Linked DNA regions of Tamandua tetradactyla. The protein of the gene in region 1 interacts with the protein of each later gene in a biochemical or structural test. Links are inferred from orthologs where the notes say so. Each region holds a gene or a part of one and is shown in the gene's direction. Other genes may lie near its edges. The genes, in order: TRDN and CASQ2.

What was found.
Region 2: the proteins of TRDN (region 1) and CASQ2 form a complex in vitro, tested with the Homo sapiens proteins (3 studies listed by BioGRID). The link is inferred for Tamandua tetradactyla from reciprocal best matches to the Homo sapiens genes TRDN and CASQ2.

The regions. Positions count from the first base shown.
Region 1 is NC_135331.1:184,774,545-184,790,286, reverse strand, and holds the start of TRDN (triadin), read left to right. Parts: upstream 1-10,142; 5' UTR 10,143-10,405; coding exon 10,406-10,427; intron 10,428-15,742. UniProt on the Homo sapiens protein: Contributes to the regulation of lumenal Ca2+ release via the sarcoplasmic reticulum calcium release channels RYR1 and RYR2, a key step in triggering skeletal and heart muscle contraction.
Region 2 is NC_135337.1:5,377,444-5,392,717, forward strand, and holds the start of CASQ2 (calsequestrin-2), read left to right. Parts: upstream 1-8,878; 5' UTR 8,879-9,000; coding exon 9,001-9,234; intron 9,235-15,274. UniProt on the Homo sapiens protein: Calsequestrin is a high-capacity, moderate affinity, calcium-binding protein and thus acts as an internal calcium store in muscle. Calcium ions are bound by clusters of acidic residues at the protein surface, especially at the interface between subunits.

The DNA.
Region 1 (15,742 bases):
TGGTCCTTCTCTCCTGGGTTTCATTGCTTTCAGTTTCTGACTTCAGTGGCTCTCTCTTCAGCTACTCCATGGGTTTTTTGTCTGTGCTCGCTTGGCTTTTTCTGACTTTCATCCTTTCCTAAAAGGTTCTAGTAAAAGGATTAAGACCCACATTGAATGAGGAGGGTCACATCATCTGCACTGAAATATCCTAACCCGAAGTTCCCATCTACAACAGGTCTGCACCCACAAGAATGAACTAGAAGAACATGAACTTTTCTGGGGTACACAACAGCTTCAGTGTTTGACAGGCTGCATGGAAAAGGTGCCTTCAAGAGATGGCCAATCCTCAGGGAAAATATGTGCCCCTAAGAACACACCAAAATACCATCCCAGATTTTGAACAGAGTGGAAAGCACAAAGTTGAAGGGAACACTCGGGTCAAAGGTCGAGGATATAAAGGGCATTGCCAAGGAGAAGTGATGATTTCAAAATGGTACCGTGGCTCTCACTTATCACATGTATTCTTCTAGGAAAATGTAAACAACAAATTAGTCCTTGTTCCCTTCCCTCCTACGTGTGATATTCTGGACCAGGAACAGTTGCATGTTCTTTTTTCTTTTTCCTCATTTTAAAAAAGATTATTTTCTCTCTACCATTTTATGTCAATTGTGTGAGATTGGTTAGATTTATCATTTAATTCTAAGTGCTGGATCATTAAACACACACACACACACACACACACACACACACATATATATATATATATATATATATCAAGACCTGATCAAGTTTATTGCCCAGAGATAAATCAACTCATTTTCTGTTGAAGTTCTCTGCGGAAGGGCTGGGTGTGGTTTGACTTGTGAGATTGTGTTGTTAGAAAGGGATATTGTATACATATTTCTTGGAAGAAGTGTGTGTGTGTATGTGTGTGTTTGCGTGTGTATTTATATTCATAATCAAGTGGTGACTTCTGCTTCGGTCTGCTCAGTATGCCTTTTACTATTTTCTGGCACTGACACCTTCCTTCTTGGGCAACTGCTCCTCCCCCACCCGGAAGGTTCTGGTGGGGCTGCCAACTACTGCCCTTACCCCTCAGAGCACAGGCATAGGCACATGACTCAGGAGAGCCAATCAAAATGCCCTGTCCTCCTGACCACAGAGCTTGATTGGAGGATGTGCATGTGATTTAAATCAGATTAGTAAGCGTCTATCCTTACACAAGTTATACACAGACATTGGGAGAATATGGCTGTCTCTTTCTTCTAGGATTATAATCTAGATTGACCTGAATCTTGGGTATCTAGGTCTGTCCTCTTATACTGTCCCACCACATGGAAAAAGTCTTTATAAAATTTGGAGAGAATGAAGGCAAATATAAGTAGAAACAGAGTTGAGAGATGGAGAAAGTGTGGGCGATGTTATTTGTCTTCCCGGATTCAAGCCCATTCGCTTCTTTTTAGGATTCAGAATAGTCCGAAGGGGACATGATAAATGTGGTCCTTGCTCAAATCCAGAAAGGCTGGTGTGGTGGTGGGAAGCTGTATGTACCCTGGACAGACATGTTCTTAGTCCTAAGCCATTCCCGTGGGTGTGAACACATTCTAAGTAGCATGTATTGATGACATTACTTCAGGGGATCTGTGGGCCACCTCTGAGTCAGGACAGGTCTTAATCCTATTACTGGAGTCCTTTGTTAGAATGAAATTCAGAAAGAGAGAGAGAGAAAGCCACAGGAAGCAAGAAGGTAAAATTCAGTGGAACCCAGAAGAGAAGGGAGAGCCCAAGAGAGGCGCCATGTGGCGGAGGAGCCAAAAACCAAAGACGGCCAGCAAGCAGTCCGGACCTCCGGTTTTGGAGAAGAAAGTATCACCTCAATGAAACCTTGATTTGGGCTTTCTTTTAGCCTCAAAACTGCGAGCAAATAAAATTGCTATTATTTAATCCAGTCCATTTCATGATATTTGCTTGAATAAAGCCAAAAATTAAACATCTGGATAAGAAAGATTAAAAGAAAAAAAGAACAGCGAGGATTAATGTAAAGAGCACTAAACCGGGAGTCAGGACAACTGGATTCTAGTTCAGGACCTTCAATAATGATTTCTTTATATATTGTGGGCAAGTCACTTAGTGTTCCTGAGTCTCAATTTTCTCGTCTGTAAAATGACTGCTTGTGCCAAGTATTTCTGGGATCCTTAAAACTATATGTATCTCCACGTCCCAGACACCTCAAAACTAAGCACACTTTGAAATGTGTTCCACCTATGAATAGGTACTTAATATTTTTGAGTGTGTGATAACAGCATTTTATTTACTTTTTCTTTTCCTTTCCCTTGCTTTTAAACTTTCTTTTTTTAAAAAAAAAGTATGATGCTGCTAGATTAATCCAGTGGAATGTAAATGCAATCAGTGACTAAATCAAACATGCCTGTAGTCCGCAACATTTCCAAAGCAAAAACAAAATTATATACCCTTCTAATTTGAACCAGCTGAAGTAACTGCTGATTTTTATAGTTCCAATGAAATTGTGAGAATTGATTGTCTCTGCAGATTATAATGCTCAACACTTAACTCTACAGAGACACAACCACCCCTAAACCCAGTTTAAAGGGGCTGTAAGTTTGACATTGGCATGCCGCTCTTTCTTCTTTCAGTGGGGTCTCAACCCTCTCCCTCCTAATTCCTACCCCCTACCCTTTTCCCCAGCTAATGGAAATTAGCATCATCATAAGGGTCAAATGGGAGAAACTCTACTGTCTTCAAGATATGCCCTGTGGAAGAGAATTTTGAGACTGTATCCAGGCTCAGTAGGAGAGGATGCTTTGATTAATAAGCAGTGTCTGCAAAGGACTCAAACTTGAAAAATGTGGCCTCTGTATGTGCAATGCACTCTCTAACATAATTTTGTATTCCAAATGTTACTTGCCTTTTAACAGAAAACTTTCTAATTTAATTTCTAAATTATAGGACTGAGCCTACGATTTATATATAACAGGCTTCTCTACTGGAGGAGGCATCATGGGACAAGGGTGCTGTCTCCATTATTCTTCATATCCAAACATCTCTTCTATTTAGTGACCACGCGAACACAGCATGGATTCATATATGGGAAAGCATTGTGCCTTTCACAATTCTAATTTGTTCCCAGCATGAAATACCACTTATATTGGTTTGAAATTCTATTCTAACCTTAGAGCTCACGATTTCTGTGTGGGATGTAAAGTTGACAAAACAAGTACTTTTCTTCCTAATGCAAATCCTGCATGCTTTGGCTTTCAGGTAGTCAGGCTGACACTGTCGGGACATGTAAGAGAGAAAATAACTCCTGCTAAATAAAAGGGAAAGGAGGGAGGAAAGAGGAGTGAGTCTGTTTTGTTAAATGGGATTTTTAGAGACACAAAGCAAATGGTTCTGTTTTGTTTGGAAGGAGATTAAGAATTAAAATAATATACTTTAAATGAGTGACTACAAGTTAGGAGGTCAAGGAAAGCTGACAATCTGCCAGTTGTGACAGCTCTGAATAATATTCAGATTAATTATAATATTGAAAATGGAAAATCCTGACTTCGAATGAATAATGAACAACACAACCAGACAAGGCTCTGAGGTGAAATGTGATTTTCATGAGGATGGGAACATTTAACACTTATACAGCAATTCATATTCTCAAAGTCATATATCAGTGACAACTGTAAAATACAACTTTAATTTGAACTGATGAAATACTCTGCAGAGGTATATTCTGCTGGCATTATACCCCCTTCCCCAAATAAAAGGAGAGAAAAGAGATTTGAATAAACAAAAGCTAGAAAACCTCTTCTAAAAGTGGAAGTCAATGTCTTGATATACACCCATTGGAAATAATTTAATTCTTGGTAAGTACACCTTTGTTCCTCATTCACATGAATATTCATTGGATGTTGCAGCTCTTCATGGGTTTAGATGTTAAGTTACATTCTGAATGTAAAAATATTTGGTTTATAAATATACGCTGTAATCTTTAGGCTCTACTTTAAATAAAAGCCCTTTAGATCATGCATTTTCTCCAAAACTCTCATCTCTAGACTGCTCTTCCCATTTCCATGGTTTAGGTTGAAACTTAGCTAAAATTTTTCTTCACATCTATGCTTTCCCAAAGGTTTTAATCCAAACATCGACACAGCTCCTATGCTCAGTTTACCAACACGCTTGCAGAGAATCCCCAAATGGTCCTGAGGTGGAGACTTTGCTACTCTGATAGTGTTTTAGTGAGACTTCAACGCCAGCCCCAATTCTACACCCTTGTAGTTGAGTGTGACCAGGAATCATCATCGTGATGGAATAGAAGTGGAGGTTATCCGTGTCTCTTCCAGCTTTCTGCTGCTGGAGTAAGTATCACCAGAGCAATCCTGGAAGCCACCCAAGGAGGGCAGGGCTACCATGAGCCTTGATTTCTAATGACCCCACTGGGAATAGCAGCCTGCTGACTTGGAATACTACTGTGGACTGTCAACACAATAGAGAAATAGGCTTTTATTTTGTTTGAAGAGGTATATTTGGAGACCTTTTTGCTTCAGCCTCTTACATTATTCTAACCAATGCAAGTTCAGATTTGTTACTACAAACATGTGGTCTTTTAAATCCAGCTGGCCTCTCAGTAGCACTATGCAATCCTCAGAGGCTGGCTCTCCCCTTACCACTGCAAATTTTATGAAATCTTTAAAATACTCCTCAAACTGTCATTTCCACTTCTAACCCTTGGTTACTTAGCATGCAACATTTGCCTCATGGAAAAAATAATTCCATCAAGTAAGAATTCATTTTATTTTTCCCCCTCTAATATATTCCATTTGTGCCCCTTCTTATTTCCTTTCTTTTAACTTTAACTTTACTAAGAATTTTATTATATTTGAAAGTGTCTAAAAGAGTCTAATTTTAACCTTCCTTCTGCTACAAGCTCTTTCTCTAGTCTTTTTTTCCATTTCCTATATTCTTGACCTCTCCTGCTTCAGTACTGCATTCCTTCCCTCAAAGGATAAAAACACTCAAGGCTCTTCAATCTTTAAAAGAAAATCCTTTTCTTTCCATGAATCCCCTCTAATTCTCACTAATTTCTACCCCTTCCCTTTTCAAACAAGTTCTCAAAAGCATATTTATGCTTATTCCTCATTTCATGAGCTTCCATCTGCCCCACATTCTGTAATCTGGCTTTTGTTCCAAGGCCCCCTTAAAATTGTCTTGAGAAAGATGCGTGACCATTTTATTTTTGTATACAGTCTTTTTGAAAGGTAAACTGATCATTTCATCTTGCTTAAAATGCTTCAGTGTCATCCCAAATCAACATTAAGCCCAAATTCCTTAGTAAGTCTAACAAAACATTTTAGTATCAGGCTCTTTTTTATTCCTTTGTTTATTTTTCCATAGCTTCCTTATAAGTATTCAGTGACCAAATCTTTCCAAACTATTTAAAGAATATGGTGTTTTAAGCCTCCATTACTCTTCCTGAGTGTTCCCTCTACTTGGAAAGTATGTCTTCAATCAACCATTCATTTAAATAACTTCTTATACTTCAAGATCCAGCTCCAATATGCCGGCCTTCTTAAAGCTTTCTTTGTTCCATAAAGCAGGGTTGATTACTCCTTTTCTGCCACTCTATTCTTTGTTCTTCTCTAGAACTTATCATACCTATAGTGTTTGGTCTACATTTTTGACTCTCTTACCATACTATAATCAACAGGAAGTCCAAACCTTTGTTTTACTTATTTTTGTATCATTAGAACTAGCCCAGGGCTTAGGGAAGAGCTTAGTATATATATATATATTGACTGAATAATGGAATTAATAAGTAATTTCTTTATTTATAAATAAGTTCACAAAGTTGATGACGCTATGTAGTATTTGGTAATGATAAACCAGATACAATAGATTGCATTGTTGATAAAACGAATCATGGTAAGAGTAAAGAACAAAATTCTTATTATGTCACTGAGAATTCTTTTTCTATAGTAGCAAAGAGCAATATCCATTACAATGCTTAAGAGAAAAAGAAATTTGTTAATCTAAGAACTGATCAGTAGATAATTAACCTTTTATAAGAAAGGTATTTATAAGAACATCCAAAGGCATAAATCATAAAAGTGGGACACTTTTAATAGCAACCAGGACTATAATAAGTTGAAGGTTGGGTGCGATAGACTGCAGAACAGAATGGAGTAATCTGAATAATGGGCCCTGTAGGGGCTACCAAGTACAGGATAGTGCAGATCATCATATAGAGGGTAAAGCAACGGACAGATGCCAGATCTTCAGACAATGAAATTTATAAGAAAGAAAGGGGCATCCGTTGCTTTGTTAACTGAAGACTAGATTAGTGCAGGCAAATTTATGGGAGAATATTTGACAATGTCAAATGTCTGTGAGGAGAGAAGCCTGATATTGGAGACTCAGCTATTTATGAGTCAGAGTTAAGAGGGGAAAGTTTTTAATTGTGCTGGAATGCCTTGTGTCATTTGAAACGATCTGGATTATACAGTTTCTAAATAATCAGTTGGTAAGCCAAATCTATGGACTGACTTTCAACCTTTGATTAAAGAAGTGAGCACAGGCCACTTCGAGAAAGTAATGAGGGCAGAATGAGATTTTCCATGACACAAATAGAACACAAAACATGTTAAAATGAAGTGAACAGCAGCCCTGAGATGAAATAAGATTAATGAATCTGTACTTCAGTTGAGAATTTTCTTGTGATTTCTGAAGACTATTCTTATCAGGTGGAAGCTTCAGAGGAATTTCTGGGTCATATGATGGGATTTCAAGGTCAAATGAAAGCAAATACATCAAGTGGCCCTCAAGTTCATTTTAAATGGTCCTAGTTTCTTCTATATATCTTCATTCTAAGGTTACCAAAAGCCAATTTTTCATATATATTTATAGCTTTTGCCAAGTTTTACTTCACTTACAAAGTTAAAGTTAAGCATTTCTCTTTTATATATTTCCCCTTGTAAGTTACTTTAAGTCAGGCATCAGATAGTAGCTTACATGTTGTTTGCGTTTTAATTTTTTAATTGTGACACTGGGTTCCCTTTTTCCACCCATTCATTCTGGCTGATTATTTATTTATTTTTCCTATTTAAAATGAACCTGAAAACTAGAACTCATATGGCCAATGATTTCAATTAATTAATTATTTAATATTTTATTTTAAGATCCAATTGAAGAATACTTTTTATTCCAACTGGATATCCCACAAATTGACTTCTACTCTGATTATACTTACTACATTATGCAAAGTCTCTTATTATTTTTCCATTCACTACAAAGAAGATCTTAAGGAGTATCCTAAAATTTCACTTTCTCTCAAATATTTCCAGTCCTTCAGAAAATAGGTGACCGGAGGTAAGTAAGTATTTGTTCTCAATATTTCTCTTCTCACCACAGAAAAAACAAAATGACACTGAACAAGATACTGCAGCGTGGTCTTAAAGCTCCTTTTCATTTCATTTTATTGTTAATATTTTGTGGTGGAAACCAAAAATCCTAAGAACTGTTCTAATTGTCTCCTGGATTCTTTTACATTCGATGTGGGTGGAAATATATTTTTCTTAGCCAAATGCAGTAGATGTCTTGCTGATTGTTTCTTTTTGGTAATAGCTGACAAAGCAACCAGGTTTAAAAAAAATTCTCTAAGGTAGAATATTTTTGTCTACTAACTTGAGTATTTAGAACATAGAGTGAAAATCATAAAGTATGATGATCAGCATCATCAAATTGAAGTGGCATCTTAGCCTAAATGCAGCAGTTAATAGGAGGCCAAACTTTCAGGTTTTACCAGTGATTTATATAGAAAAAGTTTGTTATTACTGTCCCAATTTCTTAAATGTTCCTGTATGTAAAATCATGACCAGTCTAACTGCTGACCCTACAGAAAAGGAAAGCATGAAAATATATGAGATGTTATTACTGAGAAGAGAGAACGCCCATGTTTGGGTTATGTTAGAACCCATTGAACTGGTAATGTTCCTTTTAAATGACTTTCTCAAAAATAAAGGACAAATGATGGTTTATTATTCTCTGTTCTTTGAGTTCCTTAGAAGAATGTAGATTGCTTGGTTTTGGAAATCTTCATAAAGTTCCATTTGTAATTCAAAATATGTACCTTATGAATTGAGTTTCAGATAACTTGAAAAAGTGCTAATAACTCTTCAAAATGGGAAATACCCTAATTTTGCAATGTCTAATAAAATTCATAAACTCATATCACAGATTGTTTTATTTTTGAACTTTTTTATTGGCTGGAATACTTTTTCTCTTCTTCCCTCTGATATGTATAGCATGAGTTTAGTGATTTGGAACTTAAGAGTAACATCAATCATTGGGAATTTAATATTCTTACTCAGTGTTATTTTCAGTTTATATTAAACACGATTTTGAAATTGAGTTTTTTCCCTCTAAGTTAGCTAATTTTATTTAGGCCCTGACCCATGCATATTCTTCATGAATTACACAAGGCATTATTATTTCTTCAGTTTACCACAGTGAAAGACTGAAAGTGAGTCACAGAGTAAGGTATGAAATGCTGCCTTCCTAAAATTGGAAGCAATATGTTGATATTAAATACAGATGCCTTTGGGGACAAAATATGAACTCTGTTCTGAGGCTACCTCCTCCCGATTAGAAAGTGGCCACCAACCCAGTGCCCATAAGGTTCCTGCGAGGATTTTGTATCCTTCATCTAATTGGCAGACTTATTTTTAGTGTTTCTCTTTACCTGCAATTACTAGTGTCTGCAGGAAGGCACCACCTCTTGGAAAAAGTATGGGATTGGTAGTTAAAAGCGTCTGGGCTCAGGCGTAGGTGTAGAACCTGGTATAAAATCCGGAACATTCCCTGGAATCATTCTCTCCTATGAGTTAACAGTCCTTGCTGTTAATCTATTTGTTCAGCTGACATGTAAACACTTGCGATTGTGCTTACTGTGCCTATGAACCTGAGTCAGCAAATAAAAACAGAACCATCGGCATGTGGGAGGTCATTGCCAATGGAAATGCTTGTCACAACCCTCTTCTGAGACTTGGGTTTTAAAACAAACAAAAATTACAACAACAGCAACCCCATGTGTGCCTTTCCTATGATCTATGAAGTACCATACTCATTCAAAAGGTTCTGCTGACAAAAGGCAGTAAGGTAAAGCTGAACCAAACATTCAACTAACAGAAGTTATTAGGCTGAACAGAATGATGAAACAAGAGATGAGAGTAGTCCACCCCTGATTATTCAAGAATTGGCTAGAGTTTGTGATCATCCATGCCCTTTGATTCTCCTTTGCCTTCCCCCCACTGGCTACTGAATATTCCTCTGCTCATTAACCCCTGTGTGAGAGTGGGAAGGTGAAATGCTAATCAGCCAATTTGGCTAATTGTTAGCTGCTAGGATCCCCCCCCCCCTTTTTTTTAAGGTGAGGTAGGGAAAAGTTGAAATCTCTTACTACAGCGTTGCTTGTGGATTTTGAACCTTTACATCACCTGCCCTTTCATTGACTGCATAGATAAATTCAGATATTTTGTTCTCAGTAAGGTACTGAAGAATTAAAAAGCCAGTAATTCATTGGTTCTCAAGTGTCATAACATAACTTCATGTCACATATTTCTCATCAGCCAGTGTTTGGAAAAATCTTAATCTCCTGCAAAATGACTATTTTAGAAAGAAGCTCCTGGATTTAAGGGTTGCATTTTAATTGTAGCCTATAAAAATAACTGCACTTGCTAAGTGGCTTTGTACCAATAGAGAATCAAATAGGAGAAAATTACTTAAGACTACCCCCCCCCCCCCACCTTGCTTCTGGGAGACATTACAGGACCCTCCCCAAACCAAATAAGGGAAGGAGGAATGCACTGAGGCATAGAGCACTAAGAATAAATCTGAACTATCAAGGGATAAGATTACTTTCAACTCCTTATTTCATGTTTTCTGACATAGACCCCAAGATCTGTAATTATCTTTGGAAAGCTGTGGGGGCTTAGACAGTGCTGTTCAGTCCCGTTGCCTTGATTTATTAATTTATTTATTTTTGCCTATCTCTCTCTGGGGCTGGAGAGCTGGTGCATGTGTGGGGTTGTGTGTGTGTGTTCCCCTAGAGTGCCAAAAGGGAAAAAAAAAAAGTGCTGAAGAGTCCTAGGGAGAGGAGGCTATTTTTGTAGGAAGCTGATACTTCAGCCTAAGCCACAAGTGCTGCTTGGAAAGGGCTCAGGTTGTTTCCAGGGGGAGAACTCAGTGGAGAAGAGACAAAGTTCCACAGGACAACGAAGAAGCAGCACAAACAGCCAGGAAAAGGAAGAGCACCCACGTTTCAACACAGAACCCCCTACCAGAGTTCTGGAATCCAAAGGATTCTGCAAAGTGCCACGTAACTGGGACCTGCCACCTGATTTTACTTCCAAAGACCACCATGACCGAGATCACCGCTGAAGGTATTGCTACCATTTGCTGAGAGTGTCGAGTAGGGGAGGAAAATGTGTGAATTGACAGCCTCCTTGACCGTCAATGTAACAATGTAGCAATGTTGTTTCTAGGCAATTGCCATGTTTGTGAGATTACAGAGAGCGGTGGACTGGGGAGCTGAGAGGCTAAGCTGACCGAGAGCGATGTGTTGTGGGAGTGAGAAGAGTTTTCTCTGTGAAATTTTGCATGTGAAAACTGTTCTTTGCTGTGCCAAAGGTCCCGCAGTTATCAGCTGTCACCAGCACCGCTATAAATAGCTACAGTCAGGCAGCACTCTGCCTGATATCTTACCTAGCAAAAAGGGCAAGACTTGTAAGGATGGAGGCCATGATCATTTTAAAACACTGCATTTGACTTTAGACTTAAAAGTGATTTTTGAGCATTTTTGTTTTATGATATTTTTAAATGGAGATCTTAAGTTTGTCTTTTTTTTCCCTTTTCCCACAGAACACAACCATATTAACAGACACATATATATAATATTTAGGTATAATTTAAGATATAAATGCTCCCACACAAATTGTCTGTATTCTATTACTGGTGGAAACCTGGAGCCTAAAGTGGAATTCCACAGAATCATTGTGAATAATGTCTTTTTAAAATAAGGCAATTAAATGTTATTCTCTGATTCTTTTCACAAACTCACTTCTCTTTTCCCTTAATGGTGGATTCTATCTTTTATATTAAAAGAAATATTTTCTGCTTCATAGCTTACTTTGAAAAGATACATGCCATTACGTATAATTTTTATTATTTGTCCATGGGTGCACGGTAGCAATAATTTTTCAGGGATATATATCTCCCTTGAAGAAAAGGACCCTTCGATAAAAAGGAAAACATTTTGAAAATAGAATCTGGTTTCCATTAGGGTAAAAATTGGGGAGGTGGATTTAAAATTTGTTTCTGACAGCTGTAAGAAAATCAGACAGGTGGTGTTGCCGACAGATTCCAAATTCAGTGCTGTGCCAGTGGTTTTTGTTTGTTTTTTTGTTCTTTCCCTTAATGTGGAAGTTGTGGATTTACAGAACAATCAATGCATAAAATACAGGACCGGTTTTAGGCGCTTTGGTGATACATTAGTGTGGACACACTGATGGTAGTGTTGGAGATTTTTCAGTCAATATTTATCAGGAGAATTTCCTTACTTGTACCTTTCAGTGAGAAATTTAGTTTAGCAACCCAAATTACCTTAAAAAATTACTTAACAATATCCACGTGTCAGGTATTTTGCTCCGGGTTTTAAATGTATTTACTTATGCAAGCTTCACAGAAGCCAGTAAATTAGGCATTAGTGTCTCCACTTTGCAGAAAACAAAACCGTGACAGATGATGGGTGACTCGCTCAAGACCACAACATTGCCAAGATTTAAAGCCATGTCCCTTAAATCTAGCTTGTAGTTTTGTTTTTCTTCTTTGCTGTAAGTGGATACCAGGTTTGTTCTTTACCAGTTTTAGTTCAGAATTCTCTAACTAAATATAAACTGCATTTTTCCTACTCCATAGCTATTCTGTGTCATGTTACCTTCAGTTTGACTTAAAGGGGGCTATCTATAAAAACTTCTTGCTTCCCGCTGCACAAGTTATGAGGATACTGATGAGTATTTTCCCCACCTCTGTGCAGACATGGCCTGCCAGCTGGTTCAGAAGATCAGTTGGCCAAAACATTTTTGTCTTGCAGGTGAATTATGCTGTCTATACCTTGCGTTGGACTCAGAAAACTTTTTGCAAGAGAATGCCTGTTTATGATATAGAATGTTCCTTTCTGTCCTGTCCTATTGCAGTCTTAGAGGGCTCCTTGGAGCTTCCCGTGAAAAATAACTGAATTAATAGACGCTGCCTACTCATGGATGATGGTCATTCCTTTCCTACTCCGTGGTCTTAGCAGCTTATGGGTTCTAGGTTACCTGAACATCAATTACCTGCTTTCTCCGTCTTTGGTATGATTTTAGTGATGGTGTTTCTCAAATGACAATTAGACTGCTGACTCAAACAATCTTACATTTTAAGGTTAGTATCATAGTCATTCTCTGTAGTTATCCCAAAATTTCTCATGCACTGCTCAACTCTGCACTGCCAGCTGTGTCTTCATAATTCTTCTCACACTTTTCCCCTTCAGCGACTTGAGCCCTCTTTCAGTCTTTTTTTTTTTTTTTTTTTTACATGGGCAGGCACTGGGAATCGAACCTGGGTCTTCTGGCATGGCAGGCAAGCGCTCTTGCTGCTGAGCCACCGTGGCCCTCCCTCTTTCAGTCTTTTGTAAGAGCTTTAGTTTAGTTCTGAGCCTTAGTTCAGGCTCATTCCTCAGGATGAAATATTCTTTGGGCTCTGAGATCTGGGTGCGAATTCTAACTACACCACATGGAACTGTGTGACCCTAGGCAAATTACATAACCCATCTCAGCCTGCTGTGATTCTTTGTCACCCATTGTGGACATATAACTGAAATGTAAGTTCCTTGACAGTTGTCTCTTTGTGTCTATTGGTTGTCCTTTCCGTCCATTGATCACAAGTCATGCAACCAGATTGAATATTTAAGGCTCTAGTCCAATGTCTTCACCTCAATTTCTGTAAGAGTATATCATATGGATTATACGTTCTCCCATGGTCACTGATAATAGGGCAGGTCTAAGGATCCATTTCTTTTCTCTTGTGGCTTATCCCAGTGCTTTTGCATCTTATAGAACATGACATGGCCATGAGCATGGCTGTGCCCCTCACACAGATTTCCTCTCAATGTTCCAAGCAGGCTTATGACATCTGAAGGAAGAAGGGAAAGACTGCTAAATAGGAAATTTATCTAGCTCCTGCTCCAGGAACTAGAATTAGGGCACAGTTGAACCTCAAAGGATTTTAGAGAAATGGGCCCTTTGATTCTGGCCATGATAAATTAATAAAGATAATACTTACAATGACAATAGCAACAGCTCACAATTATTGAAAAGACGTTAAATTTTAAGCACTGGAATAAACTTGTCATATGCTCATTTAGTCCTCAGGACAGCCATATGAGGTAAATACTCGTATTATTCCTATTTTTAGAATTGGAGCCTGAGGCTTAGGACGGTTAAATAATTTGCCTAAATTCACACAGCTCTCTGCGGTGCAGCTAGGGTTCACGGGCAGATCTCTGAGCCCAAAGTGGGATTGAATATGGCTGTGTGAGAGTGATAATTAGCCTGGTGTCACTTCAGAGGCTGACAAGGACCTACCCTGCGCCCTGGATCAGGGTTGGCCCTTACCGCATTATGTTGGACAAACTAGAGCAGACCCCTGATTGGATTAGACTCAAACAACACTCAGGTTTAGGGCTATAAATAGCCCTCTACCTTCCTTCCAGAGGCCCGGTATTTTCCTGGCAAGCACCAACGTTGGCAACCCTTTCTGAAATCACATGAACTTACAACCACCAATTTCAGCATCTATTTGACAGTTTATATTATTATGCAACACTACCTTCTGAGTGATTTTGATAATGCAACAAAATTTAGTTAATTCTTAATAGCTTTGTGGGAAATGGTGGAGACTTTTAGACAATTGGTAATACGTGCATTGTCTTCAAGTTGTTTGTTACTTAAGATGCAATTAAATTCTTTCACAAGAATATTTATAAAATTGTGGTGTTTTCTGGATCCAAGGACCTCGAAAATATATGAAAACATTGATTTTTGTTAGGAATTCAATTTGGTGGCGATCCTATATATAATTCATTCAGCACTTACTAGTTAAAGGAAATGCTTATCTGAAAGTTTGAAGATTTTTTGGTGGCTTGGAGCTATGTGCCCTAGTTAAACATGTTCTTCAACTGAGTCCGTTCCTGTAGGTATGAAACCCATTGTAAGATGGACCTTCACAGAAAGTTACATCAGTCAGGTCATGGCCCCACTGACTGAGGATGGATCTTGATCTATCACTGAAGACCTTGTAGGGAGGATCACAGAGAGAGCAGGAGCGAGCCAGAGAGAGCAGCCAGAAGCTGAACATCAGCAGGACTTGTAAGGGAAGGGAGAATCCAGAAGAAGCTACCATGTGCATTGCCATATGACCACTGTTGTATGCCCAAAAAAGCCAAGGACCAAGGGTCACCAGGAGCCAGTCCCAGAATCCACGGTCTTCTGGGAGAAAACATCGCCTTGATGACCCTTTGATTTGGGCTTCTTCTAGTCTCAAAACTGTGAGCCAACACATCCCCATTGTTTTAGCCAACTTCACTGCCTGTCATTCTCATTAAATTTTTTGGGGGTTCCAGAGAGGGGATATTGTACTAATGGAACTCTTTCCTTGCTGGAAGTAAGTCCATGAGTCACTGCTTCTGTAGCAATCAAACCTCTGAGAGGTTTAGAGCAAAAATTGAAATTTATTTCACATATTTTTCTGACAGATACTGCAGGAGAGGGTGGCCCATTATTGCTGCCAAGAGAAGCGATTAAGAATTCACAGCAGGGTTCCTTGAAACTGTCTTCCTTTCCCAGCTGCTAAAACAAATACTTTATCATGGGTTGGCTTAAACAACGTGAATTTATTGGCACATGGTTTTGAGACTAGAAGAAGTCCAAAATCAGCACGTCAGCAAGGTGATTCGTCCCACTGAAGCCTGGGGCATCCTGGGTCCGACTGCTTGTGCCCTCTGAGTCCTTGGCTTTTCTGTCACGTGACAATGCACATGGAAATGTCCACTCCTTGGTCTTCTACATATTCTGTTGACTTCCAACTTCTTTTCCTCTCTCGGGCTTTCTCTGTCTCTGCCTGAATTTCCTTCTGCATATAAAGGATCCGGTAACCTGGATTAAAGCCCAACTCTACTCGGTTGGGTAATAACACTTTGACTAAAAATAACATCTTCAAAAGGTCCTTCTTACTATGGGCTCACACCAGGGATAGATTAAGATTAAGAACATGTTTCTTTCTGGGTACATGATTCAATCTACCACAGCAACTGTGCCAAGTAGTTACATCACCTCGGGCGACAGATGGTGAAATTAAGACAATGAAAAAATCCAATTTGCGTATCAGAGTTTATTGAACAAAACCAACAGTGGCTCCTCTGCCCTGACTTGAAATTCACTTCCAGGTTAAGTTCTGATAAAGGAAAGCAATAGATGACATACGGAATATCATTTTCGCTTCCAGGAATATATTTTAAAATTATATTCAGAGGAGGAGGCCCACAATGGTGAAAAGATTTATACCCAGGTCATTTAGGCACATGGTTGAATTTTTCCACTATGCAGCACTAGAGGGCAATGCAAAGACCCAGGGATAGAAGTCTGGAAGCAACTAAAAGGCA
Region 2 (15,274 bases), on another chromosome or scaffold:
AAATCGACGTTCATTTGTTCTCCTTCAGGCAAAAACATTTTAAAATTTATACATTTAATTACCATCATCATATGCTCTAGGAATTCCTAAATTATATAGAATTATATAAATTCTGAAAGAAGGAAAGAAAGTTTCCTTCTTTCATCATTTATCTCCATTTTTTTCTTTACTGTAGAATTTCTGGCAAGAATCTGCTATCATTTCTTACATTTGTTTCTTTGTATATACTGTATCTTTACTGGTTATTTTGAATATTTTCTTATTATTACTTGTTTCCAGAAATTTAATTATGATTTGTCTTACCTGTTTTCTTTTACGTATTTTTTTGCTTGGGTTTGGGAAACTTCTTGGATCTGTGGGTTTATAGTGTTCAACAAATTTGATAAATTTTGAGTCATTTATTTCTCTGAATATTTTTTTCTGAGCACTCCTTTCTCTTCACTCTTTCAGGGACTCCTGTTATTTTTATGGTATGCCATCTGATATTGCCCCATTTGTTTATTTTTTTCAATTGTTTTTCTGAATGTACTTCATTTTAGGTAGTATTTCCTACTATGTCTTAGGATTCACTGACCTTTTTTTCTCTAATATCGAGCGTGCTTTTAATCCTATCTAAAGTATTTTTTATTTCAGACATTTTATTTTTCATGATTAAAAAAGTTTTACTTGGGTGTAGTAGTGGAGACTTACCCTTGACACTTAGATGCTTAGATAACTTGACTTAGCCCTGCTCAGTATTTAAAAGTCCACACAGTTCTTTAGAAATAGTAAGGCCAAGAATAGAGAATTCAAAATCTATACACCAGGATCATCTGGCTATTAGTTATGTCACCTCAGAAAAGTCACTTGCTTTCTTTGAGTTTCAGGTTTCTCATCTATAAAATGGGAATTTTAATAATATTAACTGAATGTGTAGGAATTTGTTGGAGTTGCTAACAGGTGGAGGAAGTATCTTGGGCCATGAGGCCGCTCCCTTAAACTCTGCAACTTCCCCACTTTGGAAACTGGCTTTGGTTATGAGTCAGAGGATTACCAGTCCGTTTGCTCTCAGAAGGAGTGGCAAAGGAATGTTTCTGGATGTTATAAACTGAGACCACATGTTGCAAGTGCAATACAGTGGCTATTCCTGGAGCATTGCTAAGATGATCTACAGGAGATCAGTCCTGCCGCTGAGAACCCACAGGCTTCAGGTGCTGCTGCATCAGCCTCAGACAGATCCTCTCGGGGCTCCACTGGCAGAGAACTCTACCTACACGACACAATCTCACCAAATGCTGAGCACCTGAGCTACATCAGGCTGGACACGTGCTGAGGATGAGTGACCAGGGGACTTCAGAAAATGATCTGTTACTTGGATGACCCAGCAAACAGGACAGGCAGAAAGAGTCACCAGAGGATCATATTAAAGTGTATATCCAGGAAAGGTAAAAGAACCCGGCATGCTGTGAATATTCGCCCTGGAATAGTTAAAACTAGGGTGGCCTTCCCAATCTAAACTCATCCCATAGGCCATCAGAGCACGAGGCAGAGCTATAAAAAGCGAAGGGTAACGCAGCTGGAGCTAGACAGGCCAAAAGCAGTGTTCATGTACCAAACCAGGAAGGGAAGCATGCCACGCATTCTTTCAATTTTGGGAGCAGGGTCACATTCAAATAAGAGCACAAGGACTGTATCCCCAGTTAATTTCCACCAAGAAGGAGACTCAAGCAGCACTTTGTGGACCCTGTTTCATCAAGCCCAGGGTTTCTCGACCTCAGAACTAGTGACATTTTTGGATCAGACGATTGATTCCTTGTTGTGAGGAGCTTTCTGGCGCCTTGTGGGGTTTTTAGCAGCATCTTTTGCCTCTATCTACCAGACGCCAGGAGCACCTACCGCCCACCCCTGAACGGTGACAATAAAAAAAAAATGTGGGCGGGCCGCGGTGGCTCAGCGGGCAAAGTGCTTGCCTGCCATGCCGGAGGACCTCGGTTCGATTCCCGGCCCCAGCCCATGTAAAAAACAAAAACAAACAAACAAAATACAATAAAACAAGAAAATGTTTAAAGATGTTTCCCTTTCTTCCTCTCTTCCTTCCTTCCATCCTTCCTTCCTTCTCTCTGTCTTTCCTTCCCTTCCTCCCTCTCTCTTTAAAAAAAAAAAAAAAAAAAAAAAAAAAATGTGTCCAGACATTGTCAAATGTCTCCTGGGGTGGGGGCACCAATCACCCTCAGTTGAGGCTCCCAAGCCTCAGAAGACCTGATAACCCATTCATTAATGTTTCCTGAGATCTGAGCTTATTGAAAATATGGGGACCACGGCTAAAAATCCAATACTTCTGTTGGTTTACTGAGAGCTGTGAAGTCAAAAGTCATTAATTATTTTTTAAAAAATACATAAGCCCTGAGCCCTTAGCAGAGGTGTGCAGTGCAGTAGGATGGAGCATGCGCTCTAGAGCCAGACCGTCCACACTCACATCCCAGCTTCACCGTTTGTGAATGGGGTGACATTGGGCCAGGTAACTTCATCTTTTTGTGCCTCAATTTCCTTATCTGTCAAAGGCAGACAGAGAGTCTTCCTCACACGGCGTTTGTGAGGATATATGTCAGTTGCTACAAGTAAAGTGCTCAGCACAGCCCTTGGCACATGCGGGCCTCCAGCTGATCCATTCAGCCCTTCTCAGTTGGAGGTCTTGAGAGGGGAAATGACTTGCTTAAATAAATGGTTGTCCCAGCTCATAAATATTATGATATTTATGTCATAAATATAAAAGAGTCTGCTCAACTATACTGTGATGAACTGTTCTCTCATATGTGTTTGTTGCAGACAATGGGCTACATGAAGATGCAAATTATCTTTACCTCTAGAACAGCTAAGCTCTGAGGACGGTCAGCTTTCCCGCATTGTTGGAGGAGCTTTCCCTGACTAGCCTCCGTGTTGGTTTCTTATTACCTCTGCAACAACTTACTGCCAACTTAGTGGTCTACAACAACTGACATTTGTTATTTCACAGTCATGGGGATCAGAAATTGAAGTTGGTCTGCAAGGTGGCCTCCCTTCTGGGGTCTTCAGGGGACAATCGATTCCTTGCCTTTCCCAGCTGCTGGAGACTGCTGAGCACTTTGGGCTTGAGACCCCTCAGCGTTCCAACCTCTGCTGTAATCATCACAGCTCCTTCTCTCACTCTGCTCCTCCTGCCCCCTCTTACAAGGAGCTTTGTGATTGCACTGGACCTCCCAGAAAACTCTCCCTATTTCAAGAGCCCCGACCTAACCACCAGCCCAGAGCTCCTTTTGCCATGTAAGGTAACACACTCACAGGTGCCAACATTAGGATCTGGTCGTCTTCCCCCTTGGGGCCATCATTCTGCCCGCCATGCCCTGCATTTGCACACTTTGATATAACCTCTATAGCCAGCGCTTTTCCTGTCCTTCAATTTCATTGCATGAGAAGTCTATATTCCCACCTCTGGATCCAGGATAAATTAACCCAAAACTTTCCATGTATCTGTTCTTATCTACATTTTCTGCTGAACTAAATCTCCTCATTTCCTTTTGTTTTTAAAGCTGTTCCTTTTGTTCTCTCCTGCCAAAATGCCTGGTTTCTTTATCAGACCTGTTTTTAATGACATTACTCTAGTATTTTTTCTTTCCAGATGATGATTGAGAAGCTAATAAAAAATGATGCCAGGTAACATAACAGTGATAGGAAAAAAAATGGCTGGTATCCCTTTATCTTCTTGTCATGCAAATTCTATGTAATCTGAATTTCTCCATTTTGCTTGCCCCTGAGGGGGACAGAGAAGGCTCCCCCTCCTTGAGCTGAGCAGACTGGGTCCTGACAAGAGCAGACAGATGGGTCCAAATCCAGTCTCTGCTACTTACCAGCTGTGTGACTGGGGCAGATGGTTTGACCATGCTGAACCTGTTTCCTCATTCATGAAATGGAAGAAATAATATGCAGCTTGATGGGATTTAAATGAGACAGTGTGTAAAATGTAGTGAACCCAGGGACTGGTTCATGGTAAGCATAAAAAACATTAGTTCTCTTCCATGTTTTCTCCAGCCCACACAAAGCATAATCCCACACACGATGGCGGTGGCTCAATGCAAGACTAAAATCCTGGGCGTATCCCTGAGTAGTCACACATGGCAGGCGGCCATCTACTATTCTGAAGCAATTCCTGAATTCATAAGCCTCCTGGGAAAGCCATCTAGCTGGTGGCTCCCGGCAGGGGGAGTAGATGCTGGAGCCAGCCTGCTAGGCAGCGGCTCTGCCACTACCAACCATGTCACCTTAGGCCAATTACCCAACTTCTCTGTGCCTCAGTTTACCCCTGTGGTAAAAGGGGATAATAAAATTGCCTAATAGGGCTGTTAAGAAGAATGAATGAGTTAAGTTCAATTCAATTAAGCACTTTAAATAAAGCCTGGCACAAAGTAAGTGCTGTTTAAGTATTTATTAAACAGAAAGCCGATTTATTTACTGACTATTTAATGGGAACTACTATGGGCTAAGTCCTGGGCTGGTTGTGTGGGGTCACTGAGGGACAGAAGCTTGCCCTGCTCTGATAAGCTCGGTCTACATAGGGAAAAAACTCTACATTCTACATTCTGAGCATCCCCGAGGAAGTACCATTTGTCTAAATCTGGAATTGTTATTGGTAGAGCTTTGGGATCCGTTTTTTACTTAATATTGGTCCTTTTCTGCGTGTTTTGATTTGGAAGTATCCTGGTTGGGGAGGCGGAGGAGGCTCTGGGGGGCACCTGGTATTCAGAGTTCAGAGGAGAGGAGGGCCTTGAGGTTGCTAAGAAGCTAAGAGACCTGTCCTGAACTGACCAGAGGAAGCCTAAAGCCATGCATCCCAGGGCTCTAGAAAAGCATTTCTGGAACCTTCTCTAACCGGTCGACAGTCTGAACTTGGCCTGGCTAGTTGCCCGGCAGAAGTGCTGTAAGAGGTAAAGGGACCTAATGAAGAAAGATGCCATATTCTGCTTTGTCCACTGGGTGGAGCATTTTAGCCAAAGAAGGACCTCTGTGATGCAGTCGCGTCCTAGGAGGAGCTGCTCAGCTTGGAGAACTGGCAAGCTTGGACGTGTTCAAAGGGCACACCCTTCAAAACCCTCCTCTGCAAATAAGACACCAAGCTTCCTCAAGCCTGAGGGCTGTGCCAAGGCCTATTCTAGTAAAACAAAATTCTCTATGGGGGTAACAAACTTTCAAACTTTTAAGTCCAGAATGGAGCCTTAGGACATCAGCGGTTCTGACTCCCTTTTTCACAAGTTGGAAATGTGAGGGCAGAAGAGGTGAGTGAACGGGGTAGCACAGGGAGGCTGTGCCAGCGTCAGCCCAGGGGCCGGGTCTCCTGGCCTCAAAGCCGACCAGGTGGATTCCTGTGCTTTAATGCTCCACGGATCGGTCTGAGCACATGCGTTTTATCAAAAAAATAAGAGTCCAAGTGCGCAAGCCACTCTTGACAGGAAGAAACAGTGAAATCCCCTCGGAAGCAGAAGCACCCGCCACTTCTCGCTGGGACCTGCGTCTCTAAGCAGCTTGCTCTCAGCCTTCTCCTTTGCATCCTTTGCATCTCAGCTGCAAAATCCCCGCCTCACAGAGGCTTTCCTCAACCACCACCCAAGAGGGCCGCCCACCCGCTGCCCCTCAGCCTCCCCTCCCCTGCCCAACTGGTCGTGGGAATGCGTTCCTCAACTTGACATCGTCTCTCACACACACACGGATTTTCTGTTTGTCTTATTATTGTTTTTCTCCCCTTTAGGGCATAAGTTCGAAGTTTGCAATGTAGGCCTGGTGTTCCCAGAAGAGCCTCTGGTACCTAGAAGATGCTCAATACATATTTGTTTACTTGATAAGCAAATGAAAGATTGTGCCTGCATATCCTGGTTCATATGTAAATTGGATTTTTTGGTTTTTTTTTTTTGTGATGGTCAAATTAAATAATACACACAAAATCGTTCTGCTCATCAAAGATAAATAGATGAAAGGGGCTAGGCTCAATTAAGGGACCTCAGGGGGTGCCGACTCACTGAGTGAGGACTGGAAATTATTAGCAAATCAAGGGGCCTATATCATACGTCACGATAAAAATGAACATTCATTTGTATGATTTGTTTTTGTTTTATACCTTCTTGCTCAACAGAACAACACAAAAAAAGTCCTGATAGTGGCACATAAAGACACATACGCTTCGGCAAGACGACAAAAATTGGAAGCACATGACACACGGGCTCGGGCAACAGCTAAAACTAGAATGAGACAACAATTCACAAGACGCAGCGAAAGATGACTCAAAAATGTGTGAAGCTTTCACTGTTCACACACAAAAAGTGGCAAGCAATAAGGCAAAGAAAAGACAAAAACCAGAAAATAAAAGGCCACCAGAGAGAAGGCTGGTACCTAGGAAGTTGACCATGGAAAACTATCTCCTGGTAAGAATAGGGCACCCACTTAGACTTTCACATCTACCGGTGGACGCACAGAGGGAATCCTGGTCACAGCATATGGCAGTGGCCAGACCATCTCAAGGCTGGGCCACAGGGCCCCATCTAGGGTCTGGACACAGGACATTGCCACACGTGGACTGTTTCGTGTTGTTCTTAATGCACTTTTTTGGTTGTAAGCTAGACTTGGAGATTAAACCAAGTCTTAAAAAATTATGCCTTTCCCTGGTTGTTTTCTTCAGTTGTAAGTCAGTAGGAAATTTATAGACTCTGACTTTAAATATCTCCTAGGTTTTCAGTAATAGCAACAACAACAACAAAAAATTTAAATATTAAGAAAGGTGGAGCACATTCTAAAATAACCCAATGAGATTGAGACAGCTGGGAACAGTTTTGGGAAGCTGACCTTGAAAAGACAAGACATATCGTTCTTTCACTTGAAATTTTTTTTTTCCTTAAATTTTCTGGAGAAAGCTAAGATCTTGCATGCTTGCCGGTGACCTAGAAAGCTCATTGCACCTCAGGATGGCTCTTCTTGGCTCCATCTTTAAAAAATATAGTCTACACCATTAGAAAGAACTAAATGCATCAAGGCTTCAGGTGATGGACTCTTCAAATTTCCTGGGACCTGAAAATGTCCTGGGAGGCCAACCCCTTATCAGCCTAATCTCAGCATAAGGCCTTCTGGCTGCAGTGGAGGGTCCTTGCCTCACTTAAGTAGGCCTCTGAGCTTCTCTTCTTCTGTTGCCTACAAAACCTCTGAGTGACAGATACTCTCTTTCTCCAAAGGTGATTTATCAACTGAAGGAAGATTCATAAGATAGCCATAGCCAACTCTAAACAGCAAAAAGACACAGCTGAGCAATTATTGGCCAGGAGATGAGATGGTCAGGGACCCACTTAAGAAAAGGGGTGTGTGCAGGGGAAATTGCCCAGACTTGGAGGCAAAGCAACCAGGAGTACCAGGTCTAGAGGTGGAGTTGGATTCTCATGGTGGCAGTTAGTAACCCTGCAAACTTAGACAAGTTTCTAAATCTCACTGAATCTGTTACTTCATCTGCAAAGCAAGCACTAATCACTTCAGTCCCAACTGCCTGCTGGACTCAAGGAGAAATGAACAGAAAAGGCTTCACAAACTGTAAATATTAGATACTACCAAGTAATTACTATAATAAACAATATTTCACCATCGCCAGTGAGAATGAAATATACTACTGTTTTTGAGCACCTACTTTGTTATAAACAGTATAACTATTTATAACATATAATAGTATAACCATAGTATAACTGTTGTGTAATGGAGCACATTCTACCATTCATATGCTCCATTACACAATAGTTACAATTTCTCCCATTTTATATAGGAGATAACAAGGAATCAGAGAAGGTGATTAACCCTCCAAAGTTCATTCAGCTACTAAAAGATAGAGCGGAAATTTGCACTATGATCTGTTCGGCTTTGAGATTCTCTATACCACTTGTCTCTAATGAAGAGGAAAGGGGCAAAAATGACCACGTTAGGGGTTAAAGTTAAAAAAGCAGTATATCAGGGATGGTAGCAGAAAAGCTAGAAGGTTTCTGAACGAGGCTGTCAAAGTTTTATTCCATTTAAAAATAGGGAGGATTCTTTACCGGCATAGAGTGCAGCTGTGGGCGCCGGTGGCAGGGAGGCAGCGGCCCTGGGCAGGCTGGGACCCCCTGGAGCCCTTTATGTGCTGGACTCGTGGAAAAAGGTGTCCTTACGTTCCCCCTGCAGACTGGCACAGCCGCGTGGGCAGCACGCAGCACAGCCGTCAGGAAGGTTTCTAAGTAAAGAGGACTCAAGGCTGGGAACGGCAGGTACAGATCATACCGTCCACCTCGGGGCTCCCTTTTGTTCTCATGTCAGCCGCAAGCAGGTAGGGGACAGGCTGAATGCCTGCGTCAAGTAATTTAGCCATTCAATAATATGTCAGTGGCATGGCGTCTGTTCTCACCTCTCCTTTGGCTTATTGGCATCACAGACCCTCATCTCTCTCTCCTCTCCTTTTCTCTTCTTCCCTGTCCAGTTTATGTCTCTCCTGTGACCTTTCCAGCCCCCTTAGCGCTCGTGTACTTACTTCACAAGCTCTTCTTTTCCCTCCGCCTCCTCCCGCTCCGCCACTCTGACAGACTGTATCCGAGATTCCCTCAACAGTGTCCTATCTATCTTTTTTTTTAATTCGTTGCATGATTTATTTTTAGCCTGAAACAACTGCCTCCTAAAAATGGAGTTCCTAATGAGCCAGGGGCTGGGCAGAGCTATGTAAGGTATCTGGGGCTTGGCCTCCCAGCTCCCGCACGCCTGCCTCCCATCCTACACGCGCATGTGTGCACGAGCCTCTTTTCTCTTTGTCCTGAGCCCACGATTACAGAGTTGGCTGGACCCAAGGAGGTGAAGAGTCAATTCTCAGATTTGGGGAGGGCCAAGGGGAGAGAGACCCAGCCTCGTTCTGCTCCCCGCCCGGCTCGACAGGGACTTGTTGAACTGTCCTCCGTCCTCTCGGCGCCCGTATTTCTGAGACAGAAAAACAACTTTTCCCAAATGACGAGAACTCACCTGTTTGTGGCGGGGGTCTTCTTGCTGGCCTGTTGCAGGGCGGAAGAGGGTCTGAGCTTCCCCACCTACGACGGGAAGGACCGAGTGGGGAGTCTGACCGAGAAGAACTTCAAGCAGATTTCGAAGAAGTATGACTTGTTGTGCCTCTACTACCACGAGTCCATGTCTTCGGATAAGGTCGCACAGAAACAGTTCCAGCTGAAGGAAATCGTTCTGGAGGTGAGCAGAGGGGCGCGGTTGCCGCATTGCCTGAGTGGACGTGGGCGCGGGAGAGGCATATGTCTTTGGTAAGGAGCGGTCAGGCATTGGGATAGAAGCATGAGCGTGCAGAGAATATATCCCAAAGTCTGTAAATCTGAGAATATTCTTATTGCAAAACTGGGATGTGTCAACCAGGAGAGGTGGGTCCCACTCTTAAAAATGGAGATAATGAAAAGTGTTCCATTGTGAGTGGATCTAATTTAAAGTCTTTCACACTGCAGCCCTCTTGCTTTGACAAGAGCTTGCCCCCTGCCCGCCCCCCCCCCCCCCCCCATTGCTAGTTTTTCTGAGAAGATTAGAATTCTGGGCTGAAATAAAATTGAGGGATTCTTTGTGGATTTCATTCAGTGTGCTCACTCTCCACTCTTCACCCTTAAATCCCCCCATGATCCTGGAGAAACAGGAGTCGTCTGACCTTGCATTCGTTTTTTCATGGCTATTGGGGGTTAGCGCTAAATGTTCTTCCTGTCTCTTGATCTGGTTTTGGTCATCATTATACACATAGCTGGGTGAAGAGGTTGGCTGCACATTCATTAATGGGAATTTTCTTTTTCTCTCTCAGAAAGTTCTTGATGTGAGTTTAGGGCAGATGTTGAAGTCAGTTCCTATTCTATCTACAATACATGGCCTGGTTATCACTTGACCCGGAGGCCCACTTTCTTAACCTTTGAGAATGACTCAGGAACTGTCCCTGCAGCTCTTCCTGGACAGTTTCAAGATCACTTACATTTTATGATCACCTGTGGGTGCCAAGAATTCTAATAGGCACCAGGATCCCTCATCTGTCCCTGTGCCCAGCCCAGTCCAGGCAGAGACTCTGCAAAGGGCTCCTTGAACCTTACAGCCATCTATTCACCAGCACGAAGAGCTCAGGCTAATCAAATACCTTGATTAACAGAAAAATCATATTAAATTTACGTGGATTTGGAGTCTCAGAAAAAAATCTTGACCATAATAAAATCCAGGCAAACTAGAGCGAACACATTAAAATGTCTTTGATGATTTTAAAAGCACTTCAGGGGTGGGCCACAATGGCTCAGCAGGCAGGGTTCTCGCCTGCCATGCTGGAGATGCGGGTTCGATTCCTGGTGCCTGCCCATGTGAAAAAAAAAAAAAGCACTTCAGAATCCTAGGTGTCTTTGATGATCATACAAGTACCTATGTTTAAAAGATTTGCAGATGGACGTGTGGTCATTGCAGAGAAGCTTGGATAACAAAATGCTAAGCATTTAAAAAATGTCACCAGGATGGTTACATTTTTCCTCAAGCTCCGCCTTGGGGGCTGGATGTGAAAGTTCGGTTCCCTCTGTAGGTTGCAAGAGAAAGCAGGGACACTTTATAGGTCTTTGCAATAAATAAATGGGAAAACCTCATATCCATCTTAAACCACAATACTCAATTATTGAAAGGTATTTACATGAAAAGTTAACTGAAGACATTAGGACTTTATCCCATATACTCATTACTGTCCAGTTAGTCAAGGTTTCAAAACTATGGATTTGGATGGCCAATATAATGGCACAATTACCCAGTCTCTGATTCCCTGTCATATGTATATATCCAACCCAAAGACTAAGTTCTGGGCCCCGAGCAAAATCATGGGAGGAGATGTTCCCCTGAGCTCACCAAGCCTTCAGACAGTCTAAGAACACTTTTCCCTTGTGGGTGCCTGAGAGTTCAGTACAGGACATTGTCCAGTGCCCCACAGGCTCCTAAAGTTGGAATGGAGAATCATTAATGGGAAAAGAACAGGGAATTTGGAGCCAGGAGATCTGGACTTAAGTTCTGGCTCTGCCTCTTCTAGGCACATGGTCTAGACTACTTAATTTCTCTGAACCTTATTTTTTAAATCTACAAATAAGATGATATGATAACTATCATACAGACTTATTGGATGATTAAATAGTAACTGACATTTATTGAAGGCTCACTATGCACAGGCTCTGTTTTAAGCACTTTAGATAATAGCTGGTTTAATTCTTACAAGAATTTTTGTGGAGTACATAGAAATACCATCTCCATTTTACACTTGGGTAAACTGAGGCACAGAGAGACTGCATTGCCCATGGTCACACATCCAGTGCTGGTGAAGGCATTCTTAGCTCCAACAGACATTGCGCTACTCCTGGAATCAAATGAGACACTGTGCAAGAGGCTGCTGGGGGCCCTGTTTAGGGGCATTGTGAGAGTCGTGATTAAATAGAGTCCCTCAGCTCTGGACACAATGATACCAGCACTAAGAGGACAGAGAAGCAGAGCGCTCTGGAGGTACTGCTCCAGCAACGTCCATACCAGGGAGGAAGCATGGGCAGGGGGGTATTTGTCCAGCTGCCTGTCCAAGGTACAAGCTCTGTTTCTTAGAATCCAGGACATAAATGGCTCCTGGCATCCCATGGGTAGAGAGAGAGTATGGGTATGAGCCATGGTGAAAAACAACAATTTTCTTCATGGTGAAAAACAACAATTTTCATCCTCTTACTCCCCTGGGCCCTGCACTAAGAAAACTATTCTACCGGTTCCAGGGGCTGTGGTTGTGCGGTGGGTACAGACAGAAGAGCTGCTATCCCCGGTGCACAGCCGCAGCCAAGGTTGGGGCTCCTCTCCTAGTCGTTGAGGGAGGTGGCTTTTGACAACTGTTTTTATCGTAACACACTGTGACCCAGTGCACATGCACACACACTCACACATACACACATACACAACAAAAGTTTCATTGGGCAAGACTCATCATTATTACGTGGGGAATGCTAGATTAAAAAAAATTCTTTTCTATTTTATTCAGTTCTGTTCTATATTGGTTTCAACCCATCAGATTGGTTTCACTCTCCAATGATGATTTGCCACCTTCAGTTTGAAAAACATTGCTTTAGGGGTTAGAAGTTCCTAGCGAGGGCGATCCCATCCCGATAAAAATCCAAAGACATCTATGGTCAGTTAGGTCTCTATTATCTCATCTAAGGGACGTTAACGAAAAGACCCAGACAGAGCCCCGTCCACAGTACACGGAGGTCACTGTCACACTAGGAGGCCTCGACATCCTATCCAGTTAGTCATACATTTATTTGTCAGGCATTTACCTAATGCTAGGCCTTGGGGCAGATGGTGTGGATACAGGGAAAATGAGGGTCCAGTGGCTCGTAGCCTAATATGGAAGAAGATGCACAAACAAAAAGCTATGGTGCAAAGGGGTCACTGTAATAGCAGAGCTATTTATAAGATTCTCTGGGAGTGCAGAGGAAAGAGGCAGTGAGGTGGAAGGCATGTCAGGGAAGAGCTGATCTGTGAACCTGAGTAGGAATTTACCAGGCAAGAAAGCAAGGGGAGGGGAGGGAACTGCATGAGCAGAGATTCTGAGACCTCTAAAATGTTTATGCTTTCCCACTAATTAGCATCTTCTCCAAATTTAGCCATGAGGGCCTTTTTCCTCTAGGATAGGATATGAGCCCTCTGTGGGGAATAGTACCATACTATACTATACTATACTGCACTGTACTATACTATACCATACTATACTATACTGTACTGTACTGTACCGTACCGTACCGTACCATACCATACCATACCAGGCTGTCATTCACACCTCCACGTGACTGAGTTTGAATTCTGTGGTGAGTTCTGTGGACAGGTGGAAGGGGATAAGGGAGAAGATGTAAGTTCACTAAAACTTTAGCAGAAAAGGGGCATGTATGTTAGCTCCAGGAGGCACAAAACTCACACTTTGCTTTTCGATTTGGCCTGGATCTGTCTCGGGGGCTGGTTTATGGTATACGGTCTTCTCCAAATGTTCTATAAATGCTGGTGGAATGGATGATTGAGGGTTAGAGCTCATCAAAGCCTTGGGAATCATCTGGTTTGTTCTGACCCCACCCTCCACCCCATCTCATTGATATGGTCTGTGATGGCATGACTTGCCTGAGATTACATCACTGGTAATCATGATCCCTGCTTGAGCAACCTTCAGCCACAAAATAGTGCATTCTCATTTAGAAATTTTAGAATATATGGACAGGAATAAGGAGGGGAATAAAAATAACCCTCCAGAAATAAACATGTTTAATGTTCCAATAGATTTCTTTCCAGTATTTTTTTCTACACATAACATACATTTTTCAATTGGGATTATAGCATTTATACAGCTTTGCTTCCTGCTTTTTTTCATTTCCATTGTATTGTAGGTGCTCCTATGCCATGACATAGTCTTATTTTCTTTGCATATGTGATTTTAATGCTAGGATGTTATTCTAGTGGCTGACCATACATATTTTCAAAATAGTTTCTCTATTTTTGGGTATTGGCACAATTCCTCAGATTTATTGCATGTCTCTGCTTATTTAGATTTTCATTGTTGTTTTATTGAACATTTCTTTGATGAACTAACTACATTTTTTTTTCATAAATTATTTGCCATTTACATTTTTTCTTGAATGAGTTATTTTTCCATGTCTTTCTCCCATTTTTCAATCAGGGTGTCAACACAGATTATAAAAGGAGTTGCAATTTTGCATGCCATCTCCTATAGCTTCAGCTAAGACAGTAAATTTAGTCACACCACAGTGGCCAAATCCTATTAGCAAAACCAGCCTCAGAGATACAAGATGAGGTATGGGCAATGAATTCAATTCCTCTTTTCTCCTTTGTTTCCTGTTTCCTCTTTCCCTTTGACATGAGCCACTGCTTGTGTCAGGTTCTATGACTACTGTCAGAGAAAGTTTTCCAACATCACCAATGTTTTCTCTGGTTGAATGTTTGAAAGATGGTGTATTCTGAAATGAGTTTCCAAATCTGATAGACCTGGGTTCAATTCCCAAGTAATTCCCGAGTTACATCCAGTTTCTTTATTTGTAAAGAGGAGCTAATAGTTGTGAAGACTAAATGAGGTAGCGTGGTAAGAGCATAGCATTTAACATGTAGAAGGAACTCAACAAATTTGGCCCCTTCCCATCCCACACTCCCCATTTCAGTCTGGATTTTAGATACCACCCAGCCTATCCCCTCCTTTTCCCTTTTCTTCTAGAGATCATTTTATGGATGATGCAGATGCCATCTTGCTTATTCATAGCCAGCTGTGCCCCTTAGAGGGGGAGTAAACTTCTCCACAATCACTGCTTCTTAACGCCCCCAGCCTCAGCTCTTCAGTCCTCCAAGGTTTTGCTCAGTTTGTGCTTGGTACGTTCAACCATCTCATTAACACCATTTTTAAAATTAGGTCCCTTCCATATTTTCAATCACAGTTCAGTCTCACTTCCTTTGAGAAGTTTTTCTCTTTTTCTTCAGGTTCCTTCTAACTTACTTTCTCCCAATGGAGTCATGTGTGTGATTCCCCTCCCCACCCAGAGATTGGACGCCTCCTGAAGGCAACCAGAATTTAAAGCAAACTTGGTGATAGGAGAAGTGAAAAAAAACACCAAAAAACTCAGACTGAATCAAGTGCACATTGGGCAAGTGTCCACTAACTGCGTGTAGAGCAAAAATACAGCTGAATGAATGAACTGGTGATGTGAAAAGGTGGCAGGAAGCTACCTTGATGTCAGAAGGACACTGAGCTGGCTGCACATAAATAATGTTGCATCCACATTATCAGTTGCTGAGATCTCTGGAAATGGCATCACCACTCTCCAGAACATCTAAGCAGGAGATGGGGGATCAATAACTCCTTCCACTTCCCTCCCACCTTCACACAGATCTTATCTTTAACTCCAAGGCTCATATTCTTTCCTCAGCAGCTATCTTCCTCTAGGAAATCAGCATTCCAACCAGAAAAAGAAGGCAAGAAAAAGAGGAAGGTATCTCCATATTCAGTTTCACACTTACATAGAAATAATTTCATGGCAACTTAAGCCATCTCCAGAAGAAAAGGGGAAAGGAGGAATGCATGGCCTTCAGAACTCAGTTTTAGAATCTCTAGCAATATACATCACATTTCACATTAAAAATTAATGCTGCTTACTATGTTTGTGTGTTTGTGGGGTTGGAAGGTGGGAAACAATTAAATAGACCA